Linked DNA regions of Ovis aries. Each later gene encodes a partner of the first gene's protein in a complex. Links are inferred from orthologs where the notes say so. Each region holds a gene or a part of one and is shown on either strand. Other genes may lie near its edges. The genes, in order: BANP and IRF2BP1.

What was found.
Region 2: BANP (region 1) and IRF2BP1 share a complex: the UniProt entries of both Homo sapiens proteins name them as parts of the corepressor complex. The link is inferred for Ovis aries from reciprocal best matches to the Homo sapiens genes BANP and IRF2BP1.

What each region holds. Positions count from the first base shown.
Region 1 is NC_056067.1:12,929,137-12,933,625, reverse strand, and holds the start of BANP (protein BANP), read right to left. Parts: upstream 3,072-4,489; 5' UTR 2,404-3,071; intron 1-2,403. UniProt on the Homo sapiens protein: Controls V(D)J recombination during T-cell development by repressing T-cell receptor (TCR) beta enhancer function. Binds to scaffold/matrix attachment region beta (S/MARbeta), an ATC-rich DNA sequence located upstream of the TCR beta enhancer.
Region 2 is NC_056067.1:53,189,771-53,194,002, reverse strand, and holds IRF2BP1 (interferon regulatory factor 2-binding protein 1), read left to right. Parts: upstream 1-1,147; 5' UTR 1,148-1,467; coding exon 1,468-3,222; 3' UTR 3,223-3,640; downstream 3,641-4,232. UniProt on the Homo sapiens protein: Acts as a transcriptional corepressor in a IRF2-dependent manner; this repression is not mediated by histone deacetylase activities. May act as an E3 ligase towards JDP2, enhancing its polyubiquitination. Represses ATF2-dependent transcriptional activation.

The DNA.
Region 1 (4,489 bases):
TCAATGGGAGGCAAGACAGCAGGGTGATGAGAAGGGATGCTGGAATAGCTACTCACACAGAGCGACTGGCCTCAGAGGTGAACTCTGCTCACCCCATTAAAGTGACTTTTAGTATCATATAATAAATCCATAAGAAAGAACATAAGATGTGCAAGAGATTCTGCAAATTTCTGGCAGACCAGGAGGATTAATGGGGGAAGAGGAAACAGTAACCGGAGCACACAGGAGTGGACACAACAAAGGGGGCCTCCAAGCCTATAAAGGCTAGGACTCCAAACCAGGAGAGGGTGAGGGTTGTGCCTGCACATGGAAGTCAGGTCCCTGTACGAAGAGCTGTACAAGGGCCGTCCCTAGACCAAGTGGAGCAGCCCCCAGTCAAAGGCATCTTCCTTAAGCAGAGAGGCCCAGAGAAAATCTGCCTTCTGGCATTTGAGGTCCCAGCACAACAAAAAGTTCCCCAAAACCCAATAGGAAACCTGCACATTTTCAAAAGCAGTCCCACGGGGGAATTCCCTGGTGGTCCAGAGGTCAGGACACCATGCTTTCACTGCTATGGGCCCAGGTTCAATCCCTGGTTGAGGAACAAAAATTCCATAAGCCACCATGTGAGTGTGACCAAAAAATCAGCCCCCCAAACTCATGAGTTCTCTGCCTGCTTCCTCTGGCCTTAGACAACAATAATTCCAGTATTTGAAGAGTACTTGCCACACAAAGCAAGAAGCCCGTCTTTTTAAAAAGAGGAAAAGAACAGTGACACAACAGAACACAAGAAATCAGAGAACAAAAGGGAACCAAAAAAACCCTTACTAGTATCCCCAAAGTCAAGGAGAAAAATGCATTCATCAAACAATACATTATTATGAAAAAAGAACATTATAAATCCTTAGAAATTAAACTTTGATTGTGGAAATGAAAAATTTTTAAGTAGGACTGGAGGATAAATGTTTCTATCCCAGAAACAAGAATAAGATGACACAGGAAGAAGATAATGACAGAAGATTCAGAGGGTTAATCCAAGATGTCCATCATCAAACTAACAGAAACTCCTAAAACAGAAGAGTAAAAGCAGAGCTGGAGAAGGAAATAGCAACCCACTCCAGTATTCTTGCCTGGAGAGTCCCACGGACAGAGAAGCCTGGTAGGCTACAGTCCGTGGGGCCACAAGAGTCGGACAACTTAGCGACTAAACCACCACCAAAAGCAGAGCAGAAGACATTCTCAAATGACACAAGACTTTCAGATTCCAGAGCTGAAGGACAAGTCCCCAGAGTCAGAAAGCAGTCAGAGTAGGACTCTACACAGTTTTCGGGAATTCCGGAAATGTCTTAATACCAAAGAGGATCCTGAAGAGTTATCCAAAAGGAATAAGGCTACTTGGCAGTAGGTTCTCACTGAAATAAAGGAAGTCAAGATTAAAACACGAGACCTGAACAAACTCAGTTGTATATAGTAAAAAAAAAAATGTCAAGATGATACTGGTGCTGGTCTAAGGAGTAAACAATCCAGATTAGAAAAAGACCACCACAAGGCTGGGGAGAGGGGGATGGTAAGAGAGATTTAGTGCCATCCTTCAGAATCTAAAACAAGGTAAAGTGGGACTTCCCTAGCAGTCCAGTGGTTGAGACTCCATGCTTCCATTGCAGGGGGAACAGGTTCAATCCCCAGAGAACTAAGATCCCACATGCCTCGGGGAATAGTTAAAAAAATAATAAAAGGTAAAGAGTCAACAGGAACAAAAAGTGCAAAGAAAAAGAAAGGCCATCACAAACAACAGAAAAAAGCAAAAACCCGTATAACAGGGGAAATAGACTACCTAGCTGTGAATATCTGCTTAGTTATAAACAATCTGAACTGAACATAGTGATCAGGGGATAGAGGTGAGACGCGATATGAAAAAGTCAGTCATCCTATCTGTTAACAGCAAGTCAGGAATGTATAAAACCAGTAAAGTGCCAGCTTATTATTTATAGCAACGAAGAACTTCCTCATGAAACAGCAAAAATATAAAGTCTTGGAGGAGTGGAACTGGGAGGTGGGGTGGGGGCTGTTGTTTTATAGTCTTCCATTGACACTTTGCGGCATTACTTTATTAAAGTATCAAACGTGTGCAGTTTTTTCAGAACATGGACTTGGGACAGATCGCATTCAAACCTGGCCGTGTGACCCAGGGAAGCCCCTTCCCTCCGTGGGCCGCAGCCACCTCCCTGTCCCCCTGACCCGACCGCCGCGATGAGAAGCGCTGGAAACGCCGGCGGGACTGGCCGCAGCACTGGACCCACACACGGCATCAGCTTTCTCAAAATTGGAGCCGTGACAGGACCCGACGTCCCAGGAGGAAACGCTTATTTTAATCGCCAGACAAGGGGGGGCAAAGGAGCTTTAAACACACGGAGTTAACGTTACCGGCGGCTCGAAGATTCCGAGCACCGGGCAGGGGTCCCCAGGGCCGCTCCTCACTCGGGCCCGCCGCCCGCCCAGCGAGAACAGCCGCCTCCCGCACTTCCGCCCGCAGCCGCTGTCCCCGCGTCCGCGGCCGCCGGCCTCCCGGGGGGGAGCCGCCTAGCCGCCTGCCAGCCCGTGGCCTCACGACCCGGAGCGGCTACACCGCAGCAACAGCAGCGCGACCCCACCCCGCCCGCCCGCGGCCGGACGCTGCTCTTGCGGGCCTGGTCCCGGAAGGGAGGCCCGCTCCGCGACGGACCCCGCGCACCGCGACGGCGGGGGCGGCGGGCCGGGGGATGGGCGGCCGGAGCCAGGTGCGGGTGCGCTGAGGCGCGGCGGGCAGGCGGCTTGACAGGGCTGAGACGGGGGCGCACAGGACGGCGGGCCGTTGGGGCCGGTGGCCGTGTCGGGGGGGCGGGGGCGGCGGCGCGGGCGCCGCGGCCGGAGGAGGGCGCAGGGAGGAGGGAGGAGGGGAGATCTCGCTCTCGCTCTCGCCCCGCGGGAAGGGGGAGGTGGAGACGCGACCGGCTGCGGGAGCTGCAATTACCGTGTGGGCTGCGGAATTCTCGTGGTGTTTGTCGGGGAGATGCGATAATGGCGTCCGTCCTCGCGAGAGAAGCCGCCGCTCTGCGCAGGCGCCGCGAGTCCCTCCCCGCGGCCCTCCGCCCTGCACCATCTGCGCAGGCTCACCGGGAGGAGGAACGGGGACGGGGCAGGGCGCGAGGGCGGGGCCTGCTGCTCGGAATCTCCCGCCCGCGCTGGGCTGGCGCCGACGACCGCCGGGCATGCGCACGGGTCCTGCATCCTCGCCACAGATTGGCCTCCAAACTTCTTACTTCTCTGTCACGCGTTCAGGCTTCTCACTAGCCCCTGAAAAGTCGCGTTGGTGGACCGTTCGGGGAATTTGCATTTTCTTTGAGGCCTAATGAATAGGAATTAGCGCCATAGACGACTACATGTCCCGGAGGGCCCTGCGCAAGCCTCGAGCAGTGCATTCTGGGACTCGTGGTTCCTGCGTCTGCGCGAAGCCTGCTGGTACTTGTGGTCCCATCCCCCCCGACCCGTGCCAGCGCATGGAATGCTGGGACTTGTAGTTGAGGTGTGCAAGGCCGCTGCACCGGGCGCGGCTCTGGCCACTGCTGCAGCGGGGTTCCCCTGAGTAGCAGGCGAGCTCAGGGGTTCCCAGGTTCGTCACAGGTTCAAAGACACGCTCCTAGAAAAATATATATTAATTATATGTGATATATATTTTATGTGTAATTGATGTTATGTATTGTGATGTTTGTTATGTATCCTTAGAAAAGGCAGAGAGGAACCAGAGATCAAATTGCCAACATCTGTTGGATCATACAAAAAGCAAGAGAATTCCAGAAGAATATCTACTTCTCCTTCATTGTCTATGCTAAAACTTTTGACTGTGTGGATCACAACAAACTGGAAAATTCTTATTAAGTGACAGTGAAGTCCCTCAGTCGTGTCCGACTCTTTGCAACCCGTGGACTGTAGCCCACCAAGCTCCTCCGTCCATGGGATTCTCCAGGCAAGAATACTGGAGTGGGTTGCCATTTCCTTCTCCAGGGGATCTTCCCAACCCAGGGATGAAACCCAGCTCTCCCACATTGCCGGTAGACGCTTTAACCTCTGCACCACCAGGGAAGCCCTTAAATACAAGAATACAGTCTCTCAGAAAACCTCCTATAGAGACACAGAACTTCAGATCCAGGTACTAACATCAAAGATTTCAAGGGAGGAAAGGAAGCCAGGTTGAAAGAAGAAGGGGGAGGAGGCAGGAGAGGGGGGGACGAAAGGGGTGGCCTTACAGACATCTCCTGCCACCTACAGATGCCCAGGTATTATGGGACTTTTCCCTGGCCTCCAGAGAAGGGAGGACTGAAACTCGACCCTACCAGAAATCAGACCAGACCAGAACCAGAATTCGAGTTCTCTGCCAAGAGGGGGTGATCAGTCGCCAATCCTCAGCTCAGGCTGAGGGCCCTTTGACCAGATTCCTGTGTCCAGGCCCGGGGGAGTAGAAAAACAGGGAAGG
Region 2 (4,232 bases), about 40 Mb from region 1:
CAGACCCAGGCCTAGAGAAAAGAGGCTGATGTAGGTTAGAATCTGGAAACCTGTCTCTCCTCCACATGCCCCCTTCTCCAAGCATGCCCTGCAGCGTTCCATCGCCGGGAAGCACGAGGGTCCCAAAAGCCTGCTTTTGCCTATCAGGTAGTAAGCACTCAAGGTTGGAAAAACGAGGTCTGGTTCTCGCTCTCCACAGAAACTATGCCCCACTTCCAACTCTTGCTATCTCTGGCCTCATTTTCTCCTTCCAAATTAGTGAGCCGTCGAGGTCGAGAGCTCCTCTCAACCGGGCGCTCCGAAACCCCAGAAATTGAGGTGGGGGGTGGGTTGTGGACAGACAGCGGGAATCGTGAAGGCCTCAATCAACCTCTCAGGCGGCGGAAGTGCGTCGGTTTGTCGGCCCCGCGGAGCATTTCGGGAATTGTAGTGAAGTTCTGCGGGGTGCGCAGAAACTGACAGTGTAACCCTTTGGAGACCAGAGCGCGCCGGCTGAACTGGAACAGGGGCATTCGACCACTCCCTTTGGCAGATAAAGCAACTGACGCGGAGACCTTGAGTCCTCTCTTCTCTCCGGTTTTCGCTTGCCCCAGTCAAGAATCTGATATCCAAGATTCTAGGCAAGACGAAGTGCCAAGTGGACAGCCCTACCCAACGCTTGAGTCGCCAGCTTCCTGTCCGCCCCCCTACCCTGAAACCTTCCAGTTAAGGCCCCTCCGCCCCCGTCCCACGAACTGCTGCCTTCAGTAACCGGTAGCCGGCCCACCTTTTGAAGGGCGGGGAACTGAATCTCAGAGAAGGCAAGACTTGCCTAAAGTTGCACAGCAAGTCGGAGTAGAAACCGGATGCCTGTCCACCTCCCGCAATTTCTGAATCCTCGGTGGCTCTCACCATCCGTATCACATCCTCGCCCCCAACCTTGGTCTCCAGCTGCTTGGAGCGACCAAACTCCCTCCCCCGCGGCGAGGAGTAATCACGGTTGCGCAGCGGAGAGGCAGCGAGCCCCAACCCTCCTGCAGCCTGCGGTCCCCTTTAAGAACAGGCCCCTGCGGGACTACGTTTCCCAGAAGGCTTTGCCGGTGCGTTATGTAACTTTCCCTGCGAAGCGGCCTCTGGGGCAGAAAGAGGCGGCGGCGGCTGCGGCGGCGGGAGAGGCGGGAGCCCGAGGCGGCGGCGCCCGCGGCCCATCGCGGGGCCCGAGCTGTGCGCCGCGGCCCGGATCCTGGACCCGGCGGGGGCGCCGACGTGCCTCTGCCAGTCTTTTCGAGGAGGCGGGAGTGAGGAAAAAGGCTTAGGGCCCAGGGGGCGGGGAAGGGGGGCCGGGCCTGGATCCACTGGGAGGCCGAGCGAAAGGCCTGGCGGTGGCTCGCGCGGTCCCGGGGACGCGAATCAAACGGCGGCGGCGCGGATTGAACGGCGGCGGCGGCGGGTGGAAGGCGAGAGCCCGAACGGGCGCGTGCGGGGGCTATGGCGTCCGTGCAGGCGTCCCGCCGCCAGTGGTGCTACCTGTGCGACCTGCCCAAGATGCCGTGGGCCATGGTGTGGGACTTCAGTGAAGCCGTGTGCCGCGGATGCGTGAACTTCGAGGGCGCGGATCGCATCGAGCTGCTCATTGATGCCGCCCGCCAGCTCAAGCGCAGCCACGTGCTCCCCGAGGGCCGTTCTCCGGGGCCCCCAGCCCTCAAACACCCGGCCACTAAGGACCTGGCTGCCGCCGCCGCACAGGGCCCTCAGTTGCCGCCTCCACAGGCCCAGCCCCAGCCGTCGGGGACAGGCGGCGCTGTCTCCGGCCAGGACCGCTATGACAGGGCCACATCGTCGGGCCGCCTCCCCCTGCCCTCGCCCGCCCTGGAGTACACCCTGGGGTCCCGCCTGGCCAATGGACTGGGCCGTGAAGAGGCTGTGGCGGAGGGGGCGCGAAGGGCCCTGCTTGGCTCCATGCCCGGCTTGGTGCCCCCCGGGCTGCTAGCAGCTGCGGTGTCTGGCCTGGGAAGCCGAGGGCTGACGCTGGCACCCGGCTTGAGTCCTGCCCGTCCAGCTTTTGGCTCCGATTTCGAGAAGGAGAAGCAACAGAGGAATGCGGACTGTCTGGCAGAACTGAACGAGGCCATGAGGGGCCGGGCAGAGGAATGGCACGGGCGCCCCAAAGCCGTGCGGGAACAACTGCTGGCGCTGTCCGCCTGCGCCCCTTTCAATGTCCGTTTCAAGAAGGATCACGGGCTGGTGGGACGTGTGTTCGCCTTCGATGCTACTGCCCGCCCGCCAGGCTACGAGTTCGAGCTGAAGCTCTTCACCGAATACCCCTGTGGTTCTGGCAACGTGTACGCGGGAGTCCTGGCAGTCGCTCGCCAGATGTTTCATGATGCTCTGCGCGAGCCGGGCAAGGCGCTGGCCTCATCAGGCTTCAAGTACCTCGAATATGAACGCCGGCACGGCTCTGGGGAATGGCGCCAGCTGGGAGAGCTGCTAACGGATGGGGTCCGAAGCTTCCGCGAGCCAGCACCCGCCGAGGCCCTGCCCCAGCAGTATCCAGAGCCGGCCCCTGCAGCTCTCTGCGGCCCTCCCCCACGAGCCCCATCCCGGAATCTGGCTCCCACTCCACGCCGTCGCAAGGCCTCCCCTGAGCCCGAGGGCGAGGCAGCTGGGAAGATGACCACAGAGGAGCAGCAGCAGCGGCACTGGGTGGCACCCGGTGGCCCATTCTCCGCTGATGCCCCTGGTGTGCCCTCCCCTATCGCCGCCCTGAAGAACGTAGCCGAGGCCCTGGGCCACTCTCCCAAGGACCCTGCCGGGAGTGGGGGCCCTGTGCGCGCCGGGGGTGCCAGCCCCGCCGCCTCCTCCACGGCCCCACCTCCAGCCCAGCATCGTCTAGTGGCCCGCAACGGTGAGGCAGAAGTGAGCCCCACAGCAGGGGCGGAAGCTGTTAGCGGGGGTGGTAGTGGCACCGGGGCGACCCCTGGGGCCCCCCTGTGCTGCACCCTCTGCCGGGAGCGTCTGGAAGACACCCACTTCGTCCAGTGCCCCTCAGTGCCCGGACATAAGTTTTGTTTTCCCTGCTCCCGCGAGTTCATCAAGGCTCAGGGCCCTGCTGGAGAGGTGTACTGCCCCAGCGGAGACAAGTGCCCGCTAGTGGGCTCCTCTGTCCCCTGGGCCTTCATGCAGGGAGAGATCGCCACCATTCTTGCTGGAGACATCAAGGTTAAGAAAGAACGGGACCCCTAGGCCACTACTGCCACCAGTCTACTGCCTATCCACCCCCGCCCCCCTCCACCCCTTGCCACCCACCGCTGCTGCGGATAAATTATTCCCTCCCCTACCCAGGCCTGTGCCTCCCTCACCTGTGTACATACCCACTTCCTTATCCCAGATGGGTCCCCTGGGGTAGATGCATTGAGGGTGGGGGGAGAAAGCTGTCCGAGGGGGTGTTTGGGGTCCCCTGACCCCTCTGGTTTCCCTCTCCCCTCCTTGGCTTGGCTTTGCTGCTGCTTGTAGTTGAGGGAGAGGTGGCCCCCTCCTCCTTGAGAAGGGGCCTCCTGAAATCTCGCTCTTTATAAATGAAGCAAAAGCATTTTATTGCCGCCCCCCCCCCCCCATCTTACCCCCTTTCCCCCCTTCAATAAACCGAAAGATGGGTTTTTTCCTTCTTGGTCCCTTAGTTGTGTGCGATGCTGCGCCCCCTTTGGGACTAAACTGAACCTGCAAGGGAGAGGACGTCGCGTTGTAGCCTCCAGGTGGCGCCCTTCACTCAGGTGGGCTCACCGGCTGTTTTTACAAAGGCTGGCCTAGCCTTCTAGTCATCAGCCCGTTTTCCAGATGCCAGAACTAAGGCTCACGCGGGGAGCCGGGCGGGGGAAGGGGATGGCTCTTGAATGGTAGCCACAGCCAAGCTCGGGAATTAGGTTTCCCGTCTGGCCCATCCCCGGAAGGTAGAGGACACAGTGCCCCCGAGGGGGAGTGGAAAGAGGCTTCCCAGAAGGAACGAGCTGTGAGTTCTTGCTGGGTAGGGAGAAAATTAGGCCAGATTGCTAGGGGGAACTGCGCGAGGACATTTACCTCCTGAAGTGCACTAAACAGGGTCCCTGGGAAGACGGTGACTGCTGCTCGCCTGCTGGTGCCCTGAACTGCACGCCCATCTCAAGGGCGGCCTCCTGAAACACCGTGACTGGCCGGGTGGAAGGCACTCCCCCCGCGGTCACCTCTGATGTGTGCGGCCTTGTCCCGCACCTGTCCCG